Linked DNA regions of Coturnix japonica. The protein of the gene in region 3 purifies or fractionates together with the protein of the main gene of each other region. This does not show direct contact. Links are inferred from orthologs where the notes say so. Each region holds a gene or a part of one and is shown on either strand. Other genes may lie near its edges.

Region 1 (6,010 bases), on a different chromosome or scaffold from region 3:
AAAGAAAGAAAACAAGTCAGACTTGGTCCTGCTGCTCTCTTTCCACACACAGAAAGGAAGCTGGATTCAGCATCAAGAGCAAGAAGAAAAAGAAATGTGGTGTCATTCTAAGTCCAAGTATCAAGTATTTCATTTTAGAAAGCAAAAGCAGATTCTCCTGCAATCCTTCCCACACAGATTCAGGCAGCTGCTGCTAGTAGTGAAGGGAGGAAACAAATCAGTAACTGACAGCCAAGGTCTTGCTATGCATCTGTTGGAAACATCACTGCATCTGCTCCAGACCTTCAGCTATGATTGAGTGCTTCTGATGTGGAGCCAGAGATAATAATAATAAAAAGCAGAGGGTCATTCCTTCACTAGCAAGTGGACCAATAAACCAACCAGCCTCTGAAAGAAGCGTTAGTTCAAATTTTAAAGGGAAAGGAAGTGCAGAGGCTACAGCTTCTTAAAAAGAGAACCACAAAGACTATGAGAGATGCTTCACAAGTAACCAATCCCACTCCACCATGTCCACTGCCCACGTCCCTCAGTGCCACAGCCCCACAGGTCTGAACACCTTCAGGGATGGTGACTGCCCCACCTCCCTGTGCAGCATCTCACTGCTCTTTCCAAGAAGAAATATCCAAACTTAACCTTCCCTAGTGAATCTTGAGGGCATCACCTCTCATCCTATCACCATTACCTCTGAGAATAAACCTAAAGTTGCTATGCTCTCCTTTCCGTGAGCTGTAGAGAGCAATGAGGCCTTCCCCTCAGCCTCCTTCTCCAGGTTATATATGGGTGTGTCTTACGTGGATATAACTACTGACGTTTTAGCAACAGTTACATGGAATACATCAAATTTATCAGCTATAAATAAACCGGCCCCATCCCTACCCCTCCTGGTGTCCCCAGCTCCGACCTCGTCCCCATCCCCGCTGCCAGCTCCATCCCCACCGCTCTCCCCATCCCGGTCCCCACCACCACTTCCATCCCCATTCCCGTCCCTATCCCTTCTGCTGTCACCACCCTCACCACTATTTCCATTTCCACTATTTTCCTTGACTTAGGGAACTGGGTCTGTTTAGCCTTCAAAAAAGAAGGCTGAGAGGGGACTTGATCCAGGTTTATTAATACCTGAGATGTGGGAGCCATAGTGGTGAGTCTGGTCTCTTTTCATTAGTGTGTGGGGACAGGATTAGGGGTAATGGGATGAAAGTACAGCATAGGAAGTTCTGCACAAATGTGTGGAAGAACTTCTTTACAGTGAGGGTGACGGAGCACTGGAACAGGCTGCCCAGGGAGGTGGTGGAGTCTCCTTCTCTGGAGATATTCAAGACCCGCCTGGACGCCTTCCTGTGTGACATGGTGTAGGGAGCCTGCTTTGACAGGGGGTTGGACTCGATGATCTCTAGAGGTCCCTTCCAACCCCTACAGTTCTGTGATTCTATAAGGGGTGGCAGCTCGCTCTGCTCAGGGAGGCCCAGTAGAGCAGCCTCCCCTCCCCACAGCCCCATTACCTTGCTCTGCCCCGCGGCCCTGCCCGGCAGCCCGGCAGCTCTAGCCCTGGGGCTGGGCCACTCCTCGCCGATGAGGGACGTCCTCAGGGAGGCTTTGTTCAGCTGCTGCAGGTAGAGGAAGAGCAGGAAGCGCAGCGTGTCCACGGCGAGCTGCCGAGAGGGGAGATGCCGTTAGGTGCCGCCGGCCGCCCCGCTCCCTCCCCATCCCCGGTCCCTGCCTTGCCGCGCTCCCGCTCCAGCTCCTCGCCGTTCCCACACGCCGCCTCGGCCTCGGCTCGCTGCAGCCTGCGGGGCGGATCGGGAGGAGGGAGGAGGCCGTGGAATCGCTCGAAGTACAGCCAGGCCAGGTCGCGGCCCAGCTGCAGTTTATCACAGGCGATGTACCGCCAACGCGGCCAGCTCAGCCGCGGGTAACAGCCCTCGGCCGCCCTCGCCCGCGTGTACGCCGCCATTTTGCGCAGGTAGTGTGGGCCCAAGCGGGCGGGGGGCGGCACGGGCAGCGCGCCCAGCAGCAGCGGCTCCGTCCGCGGCCATAGCGACACGGCGGCCGCCATGACAGCACCGCCAACCAACCAGACGACGCTTCCCGCCTCCCCTCGGGAGCCGCTCGCCATTGGCTACCGGAGCCGGCGCGGAGGCGGGAAGAAGCGACACGCCTTGCGATTGGTCGGCGTCTTCTCCTTCCGGCTCTCTGCGATGCGATTGGGCCGCGGCCGCGAGGCGGTGGTGAAGTGTGCGCAAGCGATTGGTTGTCAGCTCGATCCGCGCGGGGCCGGGCCGCTCCCCAATGGCTGGCGGCTATGGTTGGGTCGCGCTCTCATTGGCTGGCGGCTGCGGCCGGGCGCCGGCTTCGTGTGTGAGGGACGGGCTGCGGGCGGCGGGCTCCTGTCGGCCCGGCCATGGCCCCCGGCTGGCTCGGCCGAGTGTGTCTGCTCCTGCTCTGCCTCTGCGGGGAGGCCGCCGCCGGGTGAGTGCTCCCGGGGGGCTGTTCTTCCCTTATCCCCTCCCTCCTTCCTATAGGCCTGCGGCTCCACAGCGCACGGCCCGGCCCAGCTGACGGGGCCTTCTCTCTTGTCTCGCCCCTCAGGAGGGATTTCTATAAGATCCTGGGGGTGTCCCGAGGCGCCTCCGTGAAGGACATCAAGAAGGCGTACCGCAAACTGGCGCTGCAGCTGCACCCCGACAGGAACCCCGACGACCCGCGGGCACAGGAGAAGTTCCAGGACCTGGGGGCTGCCTATGAGGTGGGGATGGGCTGTGGGCGGGGAAGGGGGCTCAGGAGGGAACCGAGTGGTACAACGGGCTGGACCAGGCGTTGAGGCACCGTCCTGTGGCTGTCAGGGCAATGTGCAGGTCCAGAACGGCTGTCACAGAATCACAGAATGAGCCGGGTTGGAAGGGACCTCAAGGATCATGTAGTTCCAACCCCCCTGCCTGGCAGGGCCACCAAACATACACCTTTACTAGATCAGGTTGCCCAGGGCCCCGTCCAACCTGGTCTTGAACACCTCCAAGGACGGGGCATCCACAACCTCCCTGGGCAGCCTGTTCCAGGGCCTAACCACTCTCCTAGTGAAGAACTTCCCCCTAACATCCAACCTAAATCTTCCCTCTTTTAACTTAAAACCATTTCCCCGTGTCCTGCTATTGTCAGCCCTTTCCAAGAGTTTACTCCCCTCCTGGGAGTAAGTTCCCTTCAGGTACTGAAAGGCTGCAATGAGGTCAAGACTCAGGGACGAATTCCCACATAAATGATTCCCTATGGGGCGCTGCTGTCATCCCTTCTCACCTGTTAAACGCTGTGTTGAATTTCAGGTGTGATGCCTGATAACAAAGCAGAGAGGCTGCCAGGCTGACCTGGGAAGTCCGCTTGTTTGAGGGCAATAAAGGGCAGCAGTTCACCTTGCTGGGGGAGTGTGCGGAGCTCGAGCTGTTTGATCTTATTAATAGTTGTTTGAGTACAAAAAGGGAATGCATCAGCTGTGAGTGTTGGCACAGGAACTCATTTGTTTGTATGTGTAGAGCGTGACTGTAAGTTTTGGCTGGTAGGAAGTGAAAGGCTGTTGGTCGCCTTCTAGTAAACATGTTGAAGGGTGAAAAGTCATTGCTGAAGCCCCGTATGCTTAATGAATTCTGTTATATCTATCCTAAGGCATAGCATTTAAGTAATAATTCATATTTCTAGCATCACACACTGCATAAATCACACATAAACTGTTTTATTACCCAACATTTGTAAGTCAAAGTCTGCTTTTCCCTCTGCTGTGGATGGTGGGCTGTGTTTCCTTCATGTCCTCTGTCCTTTAGCTTCCCATCTCAGAATCATAGAGGTTAAAAGGGACCTTGGGTCCCATCTAGTTAACAGACCTGCTAGAGTAGGTTCCCTATAGTAGATTGCACAAGAAAGCATCCAGGTGGGTTCTGAACGCCTCTAGAGAAGGAAGGAGACTGCACAACCAATGTGAGCAGCTTGTTCCAGTGCTCTGTCACCCTCAACAGCATAGAGATTGATTATTCCTTGTGATTGTATGGAGCTTTGTGTTTCAGTTTTTGCCCATTGCCCCTTGTCCTGTCACTGCACACCACTGATAAGAACCTGGCCCCTTCTGCTGGTTTCTTCCTGCTTCTCCTCATAGAACAGAGGAAAGCTCCTGAGGAAGAGCTGTCAGTTTAGGTAGGAGGTTTGTGCTAGCTTTGAGGAGCCAGGCCATAGGACAATCTGTATCCCATTGTTATCTTTAGGAGTAAAAGGGATTATCTTCCTACCTGGGCTGATGCTGTAGCTGAACCTGTGGCCATAGGTTCCTGCTGCTGTCCCTGCTGCTGCTTCCTTCTTCTGGCATGTAAATATAAAATGACTGAGGAAGTGAGGTGAGAAGCAGCTTGAATGTTTTCAGAAGAAAGACATTAACTTTTTTGTGTGCGTCATACAGTTCCTTTTAGTTCAGACTTCTATTCTTAAATAAGTTAACTTAGTCTCACAACAAAGTTGGTGAGTGTAAATAATTCTTTGGTGGGAGATGCGGAATTTACCGTCTTTGATTTGAAGGCTGATTCATGCTTCAAAGCTGTGGGCTTGGTGTAGTTTATGTGAGCTGGGGCCTTGTTGTACTTGACAGCGCTTAATGCACAGGGAGCGTTTATGTGTTCTCGGGGTTCCAGTTTATGTCTTACCACAGAAGCAGTTGAAAGGGTCTTTCCTACAGCAAAATATTAGGGAAGAAGCAGCTGTAAAATCATAAAACAGTATAGGACGTAGTGGCAGAGGCAGCAAAAATTGAGTGGTGACAATTTACCTTCCTTTCCCTTGCCAAGGTGCTACTAAAATACAGAGCCTGATTTCTTCAGCATAAAACCTGGAGTTCTTTTGCTAAGAGGCTTCTTCACGTAGCACCTGTTAGTGTCAGGGTGGTTTGGGGGCTGGAGTTCATCTTGGTTTTGGTTTTCAGCTTATCTGCTGAATTGCATTGCTTTTGAGGCAACCTAACATGGGCAAGAACTCTATACAGTATTTGGAGTGCTGTGTTCTTGAACCTCCAGAAGCCTGCTAAGGAAGCAAAGTGAATGGAAAAGCAAATATTTTGTATTCTTTATTCCTTTCTTTCTTGTAACATTGTTAGTAGTCTATTAATGGACTGTGGAACTTAACCCAGTTTTCTCAGGTGGGTGTTGTGTTGCATATCTTAGGCGGCACAGGGAGAGCTGAGCTCTTAACCTTTAGTCCTGGAAAGGTGAAGCCAGTACTTCAAGTCACTGTTTTGTTTTTCTTCTAACCTCTCTTGCTGCTGGCATTTATCATTACCTACAATTGGAGGCTGCCTTTCATCATTAAACCAGCTTTTCTCCAGCTGTTTCCATTCCTCTCTGAAATCTAACCTGGCAACTTCAGCCTTCCAAAAAATAGCCAGTGGGCCAGGAAAGGGAAGGAAGGCAAAATCTGGCTGGAAATCTGTGGAGTGGAGAATAAAAGCAAAGATAATACCTAGGAATTAAAACTGAAGCTTTGTGACCTTGAGTGCTGTCTATTGGGATGCACTGTTCTACCTCAGGACTGAGATTGCTCCTGAATTTTGCTGCCCATAGGAACTGAGTCAGTGTTGAAGTTGGTGTGGAGTTATTGTACTCAGCAGGTTCAGCTTGGTAGGCAAACTTGCTGTCATTGCTAATAATTATGAACTATGTGTCAGATAAATGAATTCCACGTGCTTAAAGAACTGAGAAACCAGGGCTCTATTACATGTTACGTGATTTTCTTCTTTTCACAGAGGAGCAGTTCCTGCTTTGTAAGACATGATTTTGAGTTATTATCCCCTTCTGAGTCTCTCTCAACTCATTCAGAGTAAACTCAATATATTTTTAATATCCTCTGTGTTGCATCTGCCATTTTAATATATTAATTCTAACTTTTATGAGGTTAAACAACACAAGAAATGTTTAATTTCCAAGCACAGCAGGCAAGTTCTAGCCAATGCTTCTGTGCTGTAATGCACTTCTACTTGCCCCCCATCTAA
Region 2 (5,657 bases), on a different chromosome or scaffold from region 3:
ACACAAAGCAATACCAGCTCGTTTCATCTCCAAAATGCCTCTTATCCTTCAATACCGTAAGATTAACAGAAAAACACTCTTACCTTCTTCGAAGAATATCACAGAACAACAGAGGCTGCTTCTTCTGCAGAATACGAAGGATCTTCACTAGAATCAAACCCTGAATTAAAACTGAAGCTATTCTGTGCAGCACAAGTGTGTGAGGGATCAGCATATGAAGCATGTGTATAGGTACATGTATAAAATGTAAATGAAACTACCTATTACACTGCATCAACACTCTCCACAGCATGTAACTGGAGACGTAAAAGCAGCAAATAACGTTCCTCCTTCATTAACTGACTAATTGGGACCATAGTCAGTAAACTAGTTATACATGGAAAAAACCAACACCTGAATTTGCTGACTTTTCACACTCACTTACTGAGCTTTTCTCTTTAAAGCAATTAGAAAATGTCTGGTAATTTGTGCTTCAGTCAGTATTTCTTGTAATACACTGGAATAAAAGTGTTCAAGAGTTAGATTTTTTTTCCATTCTTTCCACAGAACACAGAAATTAATGCCTCATGCAATGAAGATTCCTTGCTCTACAGATTACCCCTCTGTTCAAAGTCCAGGACCAAACCATTTTCTAAGATTTACTCTCTCCTGGATTCGCACAGCAGAGCCCCACACGGCTGTAAGTCCCACTGCTTATACACCTGGATTCTCATACTGAGCTTGCAATGACATGCAAGAACAACATAAAGCAAATTTATTCACATCACATGGAATTTTATAAAATTCTAACATTAATTAAACAAGTAGGAGCCTTCTGCACCAGTTCCTAGAGCACAAGTCTTACCGTCTGAGAATTAGCAGTATCACAATCAATCAGCAGAAAAAAACCCACAAATTTCTTCAGAGAAAGGTAAGAAATAAAAACTTGTCCTCTTCAACATACACAGCATTTTCAACTTTTCCATAAATACACAACAAAACTCATGAAACACATTGGAAGCAATTTTCAGATGGACTGAAATATTTTTCTGGAAGTAGCAGAATTTGACTCACTTAAGAGACAGCAAGAACTATTTTCCCTTTCTAGACTTACTCCAGCTCTTCATTAATAGCATTCTCTCACTAGCTAGAAATAAGTTTCCAAATATTTAATTATAACTGAAAAAAAATTACAAAATACAAAGTTTTGCGGTACCTGGGACTACAGAGATGTACTACTTTGTTTTTTCAATTTCTTTTGAATTGGAGAAGTAACGACAAAACAAATGACAGAGAGAACTAACACGTATGATCTAGTTTCACCAAATAAGATTGAAGATTTAGATAGGATGTTTTAAATAAACGTAAAATGTCTTAGCCTGGCAGATGTCATTCCCACAGAAGTGCAGCATTCCTAGAATGAACTAATGCCCTTCAGTAACACAGAAAGTCTATCACTTAGGCAAGGTGGGACTTTTTAAGAGACCGAGTATTAGCATCTCTGACCATGGGAGTAGGATGAACCTTATTGGATCCTCTGGCAATTCAGAGCTCATCATGTTTTGCAAGGTCCATACTGGGTTTGATGAAGACTCCTTCCATTGCTTTCCAATAGTTGTGGTGATTAGCGGTGGGCATGCCATGAACTTCCCGTTGGCCTCTAATGGGATGGCCATATTGCTCCCCAGTGATTGAAAGGAACACCTCAGTTCCTACGTGCTTGAAGCGCACTGCATCCTCCCGCTCCCAGTGTGTCCCACTGCATTGCACAATCCATATATCGAGGTCATCTCCTTCACCATCATCACCAAAGGCACTTACTTCCTGTTAGAAACACAAATCTCCTGAAGTGAAAATATAAGCAAACACAACCAATGCACACACAAAAACAACAGCCACAAAGCCAGCAGAATTTAAAGGCAAGGATGCAGAGGAAAGAAACACGGCCCTGCTGTCAGCAGCAATTCAATCCAGAAGCAGTAACTCTGCGACTACAAACTCCACCACATAACCTGAGCACAGTGCCAACAAACCACAACAGACATTAGGAATTAAAGACAACTTGAGCACAGAGATCAGAGCAATCCTTCTGTAAAACAATTTCACTAATGGTGACATCAATTTGTAACTAAGTATCTAATTTTGTAGCACAATGCTTCACAGTTATCACTGCAGCTTTTAATCACAAGGTCCCAACATTTTAACTCATTAATTGTATTCCTTTTATTTTATTATATTAAGATTACAAGTTAACAACTATTTCGGTTTGCACTGCTGAACAGATGACTGAATGGCCCTTTAAAAAATAAAGACGGCCAACCACAAAGGCAAATAAATTCCTGCTAAAACAAAAGTTAGAGATCAGATTTTATTATGTGCCCCCACATAACTCCAAGTATTTTCATAAACCCGGTAGGCTCAGCTCCAACTGTTTAAGACTCAGCACAGACTTAAAAATCAGATGGCTAGAAGTGATTAACCACTTGAAAACAGAACTGCAATAGTTTGTACCTATCAAGCTAATAATATAGGGTCATGTTAATTCAAGCTTGTGCAGTCCGTGCAGTGTCAGTGACAACACACCGATTGAAAATCAAACTTGTTTGTTAGGAATATGAAATAAAAGTTTATACTCAGAACCACGCCTCATTTCAACAAGATAATAAGTCACAGACCAATCAGTCTCTAGGAAACCACTCTGCATATCCAGAGATGCCTTATTTCTGGCATCTGGTATCTAAGACTGATTCTTCAAAACCAAGAAATCTGGAAAGAGGTATTGTCAATTTCAATCACGCACTATTTGTACAAAAACTTATGATTTAGAGCCACTTACCTGGTTATTGGAGAGCGGTGATGGGAAGTGATGAGTGTGTAAGTTTTTTCCTGTGTTTACATGAGTAAGCCGTATTGCCTGCCCGCATCTCACTGGGGTTCCACGCTGGCAGCTGCCATCCGTCTTCCCACGAATCCGCCAGTAACTGTTGGCATCATCTGAAGCTTCAACTCCTGTCACTGACTGCTGCCCACTTCCTGTTGGAACAGAATTAAATGGCAGGAGACCTAACCCGCTTCTGGAGCTCAGAAAGTCCTGGAAGAACGGAAGGAAGCTGCTTTAAACTCGAAGGCGTGACAACACTACGAACACACTTCATTCTCAGTCCTTTTATTGACTCCAATGGGAATGCAGGTACCGTACCCTCCACACTGAAGAACGTAACCGAGGCCGCTGTCTCAGCACAGGGCTCACCTCAGGGAGCGCAAAGCACCACAGAGGCAGGAGATGCGGATCCAGCCGTACGGCCCTGCCGCCCCCCCGCCATGTCTCCCATCCCATCTCACCCCACCCCATCCCACCCCTCAGCCCCATCGCTGTCCCGGTAACAGCCCGGAGCAACGTGCGGCTCATTCCCCGACCCCCCGCAGCCTCCATTTCCCGCCCATTTCCCGCCCGTTTCCCGCTGCCCCTCTCCCGCCATTTCCTCTCCTCCTCAGGGCTCCTCCCGCCCCTTGGCAGCTCCCGGCCCGCTCGTGCTCACCGGAGCCGTACTTGACCTCGTGGGAATGCAGCCGAACGCTGTGCCGGGTGTTGAGCAGCTTCAGCACCGACCCGCAGGTCACAGCGCCCGGCTCCGTGCCGGCACACAGCGCACACAGCGCACACACAGTGAGCAGCGGCAGCAGGCGGCGGCCGCCCCACATCGCGCCGCCACGGCCGGCACCGCCGCCACACAGCGCAGCGCAGCGCGCTTCCGCAGCCCCTCAGCGAGCTCAGCCAATCGCGCCCCGCCAGCACCGCAGTCAACCAATTGCAGCCCTCCCTCCTCACGGTCTCCTTCTCGCATTGGACCACGGCCGACGGAATTCGCTGCTTGGCAGGAGGAGCTCATTGGGCCCGAGGAAAGGAGCGACCAATCAGAGCGAGCGGCGTGGCGCCTCTCAGGGCGGGACGCGATGGCGCGCAGTTACCTCACGGCGCCGTGCCGTACCGTGCCGTGCTGCGGGGCGGCCTTTGCGGGCCGTGTGTGTCCCCCCAGCTCCCAGCCCTCAGTGCGGCTGTGGGCAGCGCGGAGCGTTGCGATCCATCGAGCTGCCCCTTCCTGACAGCGGGGTGTCACAGCACAGGTTGGTTACAGCAGCGTTCTCATCTAGCGCGTAGTCGGGACTGTAAGGGAAATATTACCGGGTTACAGGCCTTGCAAGGAAACACAGACAACTTGTGTGGTAGCACAGCTGTATGTGAGAGCTGCTGGTGCTGGGGCAGCAGTACGGCACAGGCCGCTAACGCTGAGTGCTGTTCGTCTGGCTGTGGTGGTTGTGGCTGTGCTTTTGCACCTGAAAGTTCATCTGCTGCCATTCAGTCCCTTTTGTAAACTTACTACGAGGTAAAGAGATTATTATAACCTGTTATGTACAAAAGGAAACTGGATTAAAGCATTGTACTTCATTGCATTGTACTGCAGAGTGAAGGATTTCCTCCCCTGCAAATAATAACAGTACAGCCGCCTTTTTCAATAGGGAACAGCTATGGACAACGGACACAGGAACTCCTACAAAGTCCATTGGCTTTTGCCTCTGAAACTCATCACTGAATTGACCCGTATCTCAGAACAGTCTGGTGTAACGCTCCCCAGATCAGTGTCATTTAACAGGGGAAAAGCTTCCCTTAGCAGTGCCATAGCATGTAGGAGAGACCTGCCTTGGGATAAGGCATTGTATTCTGCATTGGCAACAGCACAGAACTTCAATATCACAATTATATCATCACGGGATGATTTAGAAAACACATTAGTGCTGCTGGCTGGTGGAAACATCATTTGATGCTCAGATGAGCAGCAATCTTTATCTCTTCCACCAGTCCTGAGGTGACCCCACTCACTGAATGGTCGGGTTTTTTTCATGCTGGCCTGTTTCATGTATCTTAATGTCCGGCCTTAGAAGAAGCCTGTGTCCCAAACACAGTCACACATTCACGTTTGTGTGCACACACACAAGCCCGCTGTGTTTATCTGAGGATTAAAGCTTCCTAGTTGCAGCAGTGTGTTTCTTCACACACACTAAATAAAACATCTTACCTTGATTGCCAAATGCTACATCTCTGTCATTCTAAGAAACCTTGCTAAGACAGGAGCTCACATTTGCAGTCGTTGTTACACACACGGCACAGACAGATGTCCAAGTTGCCATTTTAGCCGTGGAAAATCAATGGTATGCGGCTTTAGCTGGCACCTGTCTGTCCTCCTGGGAGGTCGCTCAGCCTCAGTGCAGTTAGTGCCACGTACACGGTGCTCCCTGCAATGCTTTCGGTTGTACTTTAGAAACGTCATTGGGTTAGAAGTGTCCAGCAGAGAACCCCATCAGTGCCAAATAGCAATGGCAATTAACAGCCACCTCATGGCTACAGGGCCACCATTGTTTCCAGTGGAATACTGTAAGCTGCAGGTAAACCTGCCACTGAGATAATCTAATGGTGCGTGTTGGGAATGGAAATATCAGCATATTTGATTGGAATCTCATCGTGCTGCTGCTTTACACACACACAATAATTCAGCAGCGCTGCAGAAGCGAAGCATCCAGCCTGTAACAGCAGCGCCTTCTGTTTGCAGACACTTAGCCCTGCAATCATTTCACATACTTGATTTTCAAGGACTGAAAGTGCCTCCAGTTTCCACTCAGGT
Region 3 (5,231 bases):
ACTACATTCCACAGGAAAAGCAACTCAACCAGGCAACCTGCTCCATGTGACACTGAGCATCTCAAAGAGCACGTGACAATTCCTGCAGACCTTTAACAATTGCACGCAAAACCCACTTTGGTCTGGTGCTGACTGAGGTACAGTGTTCAGAGGAAAGAGGAGATGTTCAAAGGGCCATCCACAGAGCAGCTGGGCACCAGCTGCAGTCTGAGAACTGAGCTCACATCCAACATCAGTATGTGTGTGGGCTGAAGAGATATTGCTTAAGGCAATTTAGCTGTGGGAAAGAGTATGCTTGCTCATTAGGGACTTTTTTAATTCAAGGTGACTTTTTTATTTATCAGCAGCTGCAGCAGTAGTATTACAGCCTCTGTATATGAGCTGTGAAAGTGAAAAATTGCTGCTTGTATCACCTTTGTTCCCTGTAAAAGGGTCCCTTGTATTTAGGACTATGATCCAGAATCTCCATTCCCAATATCTGGCATTTCAGTCTTACAGATGTTACCCTAATTCTGCTATGCACTGAATCAGTGACACCAAAGTTTTCCATGCTCCTTCTGGAGGTGGGAATCTCCCTCTGCTGACTCCAGAGAGAGCTTACAGTGACCAGGCTGCTACACTGGAAGCCTTCCTTCTATCACTGAAATTCAGTCTATCACCTACTGGACTCAGAGGTGATATTGACACCACGCTGTATTAAACCAGCTGGGGTTTGGGACCTGAAGAGCATGCAGTGCCTATCACCTCTTAGGTGCCTTCTGTAGGACAACCCTTTACATCTTTCATATAAAAATAAATAAATAAATAAATGCTGTGCTTAAAGTTACTGCACGACAGAAGAGCAAAGGGAAGTTCAGATTTTAGCAAAAATAAAAAAATAAAAAAGAGAAGCAGAATTTGTCCTTGTTAGTCTATTTAGATGGCTAGACTGATTGCTGAAATTCTTTAGATTGACTGGCTAGGTTATTAGATTGCTTGTCCTTGGCTGAACTGTTCTAAGAAAGATGAAATTGAAAAATGCAGCAGGTTTATTAGCTCAGGAACAACAAAGAATGTTAGAGTAATACACAATACTACGCAGCATAGAGTGTCACTCAGTGCTACCAGCACTATGTGACTTCATAGTGTTACAGAGATATCAGCTTCAAAGTCTTTCCCAAGAATCAGTTGTACTGAATTATTTCCCAGATAAAGGGCATCTCTAAGCTCCCCCATCAGCTACTCACAAAGAGAAATCAGGACCAGAAAGGAGGAATAGGGAATTGATATTTTCAACCACTACAGAGGCAGAATGTTACCCATTGATTTCAGCAAGTGTAACTAGAAAGCTAAAACATATCTTTGTTAGCAGGAATAGTTAGTGGAATAGTTTCTTCCTACCTTTGTACAGCATTGTTCTGTAGTCTTTTCCTTCCCAATAGCTTATATTTACCCTGGTAAAAACATTGTACTTCTCTGGGTATTGAATTTCAAATAGCACTCCTGTTTCTGGAGATGGTTTGTAATCATAGATAGAAACACTGCTCACAGGAAGGGGTTCTAAATGATACACAAATAAAGGAAAAAAAGGCAGAAAGAAGCAGATTAATAGGCAAACCTATAAAAACAAAATCAAAGGCAGGAATGGTTTTATGTGGAATGACACAGGAACTCTCAAATTTCCTAGGTGACATCTGAGGCTTCACAGAGGTCTGGGGCAAAACCACATGGGATTATGTCAAGGCCAAGGTTATGTTCCCCCCCACACAACATGTTCGTGCACTGAATGCTTTTTTAGAAGAAAAAAACCTCAAAACATTTTAACAGGAAGCTGTCCTTATTTGCAGAGGAGCAGGCATAAAAGTCATGGTTGAAATCACAGTAATTACTTAAGCACTCACAGTCATCACCCCATCAAGATTTTCTTCTTCAGCACTTACTGATCAAGTGCCGAGACAAAAGCAACAAACACTTGAAATTAATCATAATTTTGGCACTAATCTGAACTTCTAAGATGAGCTAAGAAATGCATCAGTGTGACAACCAGAGGAAACTGTCTGAATTATGGTATTGTTCCTGTAAATATTCATTTATATATTTCATGAGTAATTATACAGTCCTGATTCCTAATGTACCTGAGATGGCCACCATCTTTAAAGTACTCATCCACACCATGCTTCTAAAGGATACGGCAGCACCATTGCTGTTATGTTACAGATGAAAAGCTGAGGTACATGTTTACCCAAGGGTATGGGGGTAGCCTGCACACAGAAGGCAGGTAAGTACAGAGCTGCCAGTTACTGCTTTCAGCTCTGACCATGGTGGAGCTATAGAAAGAACAATAGCAAATGCACTTTCACATGCACTCTAGAAGAAATGATAGCAACTACACGTTGGTTAAGAGAGCTAAGCAGCTATTGAATACAGGGTTCTAATTTTACTCAGTATTAGTCATATTAACATATTTTAATAGAAGTAGTTAATACACAACTATCAGTAGTTATGTCCACATCCTTTTAGGTATTATCATGTTGATTTAGATCTTGTGCACAGCAGGGAACAGATTGAAAAATTCAGTGTTCTTTAGCATGGTCTCACTACACTCTTGCAGAACACATCTGAGTACAAAGTTCTTTTGAATACAACTTTCTCCAAAGAGCACACAGTCATGACAGGCAGAAGAGAAGGCAGATGAAAACAGCGGCACCAGCTTCAAAAAGGGAATTGTCTCACAATAGGTGGACGGAACAGGGTAATCGAAGATGGAAAAGCAAGCCTGCTGCACAAGTAGAAATTAAATCCCATTTGCTAGCACAGTATTTTCATGATTGTACTAAGCTTCCATTGACGATAAAAAGCAACAAAGTATAGAAAACACAACCACAAAAATAAATCTCAGCCCAGGTCTTAGGGAGGAGTTGTGTTGCCCCTGTTAACTTTGTCAGAGTACCAGAATACAACACTGTGGGACTTCTAATTTATTTCTCACAGCAAATATGTTTTGTTATCTTCAGGTAACTATCACTATATATGTATGTTAGACACTGAGAAATAGAAATTTCAGAGCTCACTGATACCAAGAGGCACAGCAATGACAGAATCTGTGAAAATCTTGCTGACAATTTGTGATAGCTTAGAAATAAACGGGAGCAAAGACGGTCATGGGAAACAATGCCTACCCTCTTCTTTCTGCTGAATCTCTTTCCATCACTTATTCTGAAATAAACAGTTGAGCTGGCAATCCCCATGACCCGATACTTCATATCACATTTCACAAAGCACATGATAGTGGTTCAAATGTCAACAGCAATCTCTACATGGCACAGCCCTTACAAGCAGCCATCTTTCATGTTAGCAGGCATGTCCCAGGCTTCTGCTATCTCATTCCAATCTGGGTCTCCTTATTTCTGAAAGAATTACTGAAACTTCCCTGAGTTAGTGATTGAATTACCCAATTTATTTCTTCCTACAACAAATCAAATAAAAGATGGGAGTTACATTCATTTTTAATCTGAATGATTTTTCCTCCTGATGTCTTGATACAATTAGCCAATAATTGAATTAAACGGTAATCACCACAGACTCTCTTTCTTGTTGTTATCTTCCGCTTACTGACTTCTCCTTGCTCATGGCTGATGCTAGCAGAGTAGTTTGACTGATATAATGCAATTTAAAGAGTCTTCCATTATCTTCCTTCCTTCAGCACCAAATATTCACATCAAAAGCTATTTGCACACTGTGAAATTGAAAGGATACTCAGCAGATAAAAATCATGTTCAAGTTTTTCACTTACTAACAGTTCCTGGGGTTATTAAAGCTCAAGGAATATGTAAAATGTCACTCTTCAACGTTTATACTTATAATTCAGAACATAAACAGTTTGGTCTTTTTCATAGTTTCAGATAGAGTATTCAGGATTCAGTTTTCCATAGGTTTTATTGGTTCTCAAGAAATAGCTTAAATAAGGTATGATCTAATACGTTCATAGGAAAAAGTAGAAGCATCAATGATATTGATGTTGAAAGACATATTAAGGAAGGAACTATAGGATTTTAGTTTCCCTTTAGTAACATGTTTAAGGCTCTTATTTTGTGCTCAGTGTCTTTATTTTTAGACATCTAGACTATATTAAACTCATGTAGACAAGCTTGCAGGACCAAGACTGAAGTTCCTTTATTCTAATCTCACATTCTGCTGCTCCTGAAGCAACTGTTTTCCAGTTATAACTGTTTATGGGAGATTTAACTTCTGCATTTCTCCTGAATATTGCCACATTTTGCATTTAGCACATACCTTGCATTATAAAAACAGATAACATAATAAATGCTTCTAGCCTCTCCCTCAAATGCCATGGCAAATTCTGGAGGCTAAATCCTCCATAAACACATTCAATCTGTGCCAGATACATCCATGTTTTAGGTGGTTTTTGCAATTCAGGGGAGGAAAAAGGACATTGAAAATAAGTACCAGAGTCCAGGCCAAATAAATTTGTTTTTAATATTCACAGACCTGCCTCTATAGACAGGGAACTGATGTTTTGTTAATGTAGCAGATTAGATCGTGTAGTATTACACGTGGCTGGATGAGATGGGAATTAGATCAACTGTCTTGCTTCTCACACTCAAACCTAGATTAATCATGGCTAATCTTAATAACACAACTCTCCAAAGAGAGAAGTCTCAGTAGTGGAGTGATGTAAATCTTACAGGTAATGGCCTTTAATCACATGAAGAAGCTGTGAACTAGGTAATATCATCACCAGGATGACACTGTTTACCTATTTGCATCGCTAATGGGAGTAAGCCATAGCCAGTACAAAGTTTTCATTTTGCTGTAAACTTTAGGGACAGTTTTATCTCTTGTTAAAAGGCAACCAGTTTTGAAATTTAATAGCTGCTGTTTAATACTTCAAGAACATAACGTTCAAGTTTATGATATGTAATAGAGGATATCGTGTGTAACTGCTTACAAAAGTGGAATGTAAGTGCAAGTGGTATCTGAGCAATGATGCAATTTCTATACTGCAGTTTCTAGATGCCCACATAAGATGACAAATATGAAGACCACACAAACCAGAAAATAACACTGGCACAGCAAAATAGGGTGCTTCTTAGTACTGAACAGATTTGGGCCAATATCTTATATCAGCCTTCCAATGGCAATTATGTCAGGGAAAAAAAAAAAAAAGAGATTCATCTTGTTACAATTCTTTTGTTTCTTAATTCTCATTTTCCCTTAAAAGAGAATAACAT

The links.
Region 1: the proteins of PTPRO (region 3) and DNAJB11 purify together in Homo sapiens (affinity purification with mass spectrometry; 3 studies listed by BioGRID and IntAct, with this or other methods). This does not show direct contact. The link is inferred for Coturnix japonica from reciprocal best matches to the Homo sapiens genes PTPRO and DNAJB11.
Region 2: the proteins of PTPRO (region 3) and SDF2L1 purify together in Homo sapiens (affinity purification with mass spectrometry; 3 studies listed by BioGRID and IntAct, with this or other methods). This does not show direct contact. The link is inferred for Coturnix japonica from reciprocal best matches to the Homo sapiens genes PTPRO and SDF2L1.

What each region holds. Positions count from the first base shown.
Region 1 is NC_029524.1:3,281,392-3,287,401, forward strand, and holds the start of DNAJB11 (dnaJ homolog subfamily B member 11), read left to right. Parts: upstream 1-2,322; 5' UTR 2,323-2,398; coding exon 2,399-2,466; intron 2,467-2,586; coding exon 2,587-2,743; intron 2,744-6,010. Other genes in the region: TBCCD1 (TBCC domain-containing protein 1), read right to left, coding at 1,500-1,649, 1,718-2,113. UniProt on the Homo sapiens protein: As a co-chaperone for HSPA5 it is required for proper folding, trafficking or degradation of proteins.
Region 2 is NC_029530.1:285,738-291,394, reverse strand, and holds the start of SDF2L1 (stromal cell-derived factor 2-like protein 1), read right to left. Parts: upstream 3,733-5,657; 5' UTR 3,682-3,732; coding exon 3,519-3,681; intron 3,013-3,518; coding exon 2,816-3,012; intron 1,804-2,815; coding exon 1,525-1,803; 3' UTR 1-1,524.
Region 3 is NC_029516.1:57,544,085-57,549,315, reverse strand, and holds part of PTPRO (receptor-type tyrosine-protein phosphatase O), read right to left. Parts: intron 1,540-5,231; coding exon 1,381-1,539; intron 1-1,380.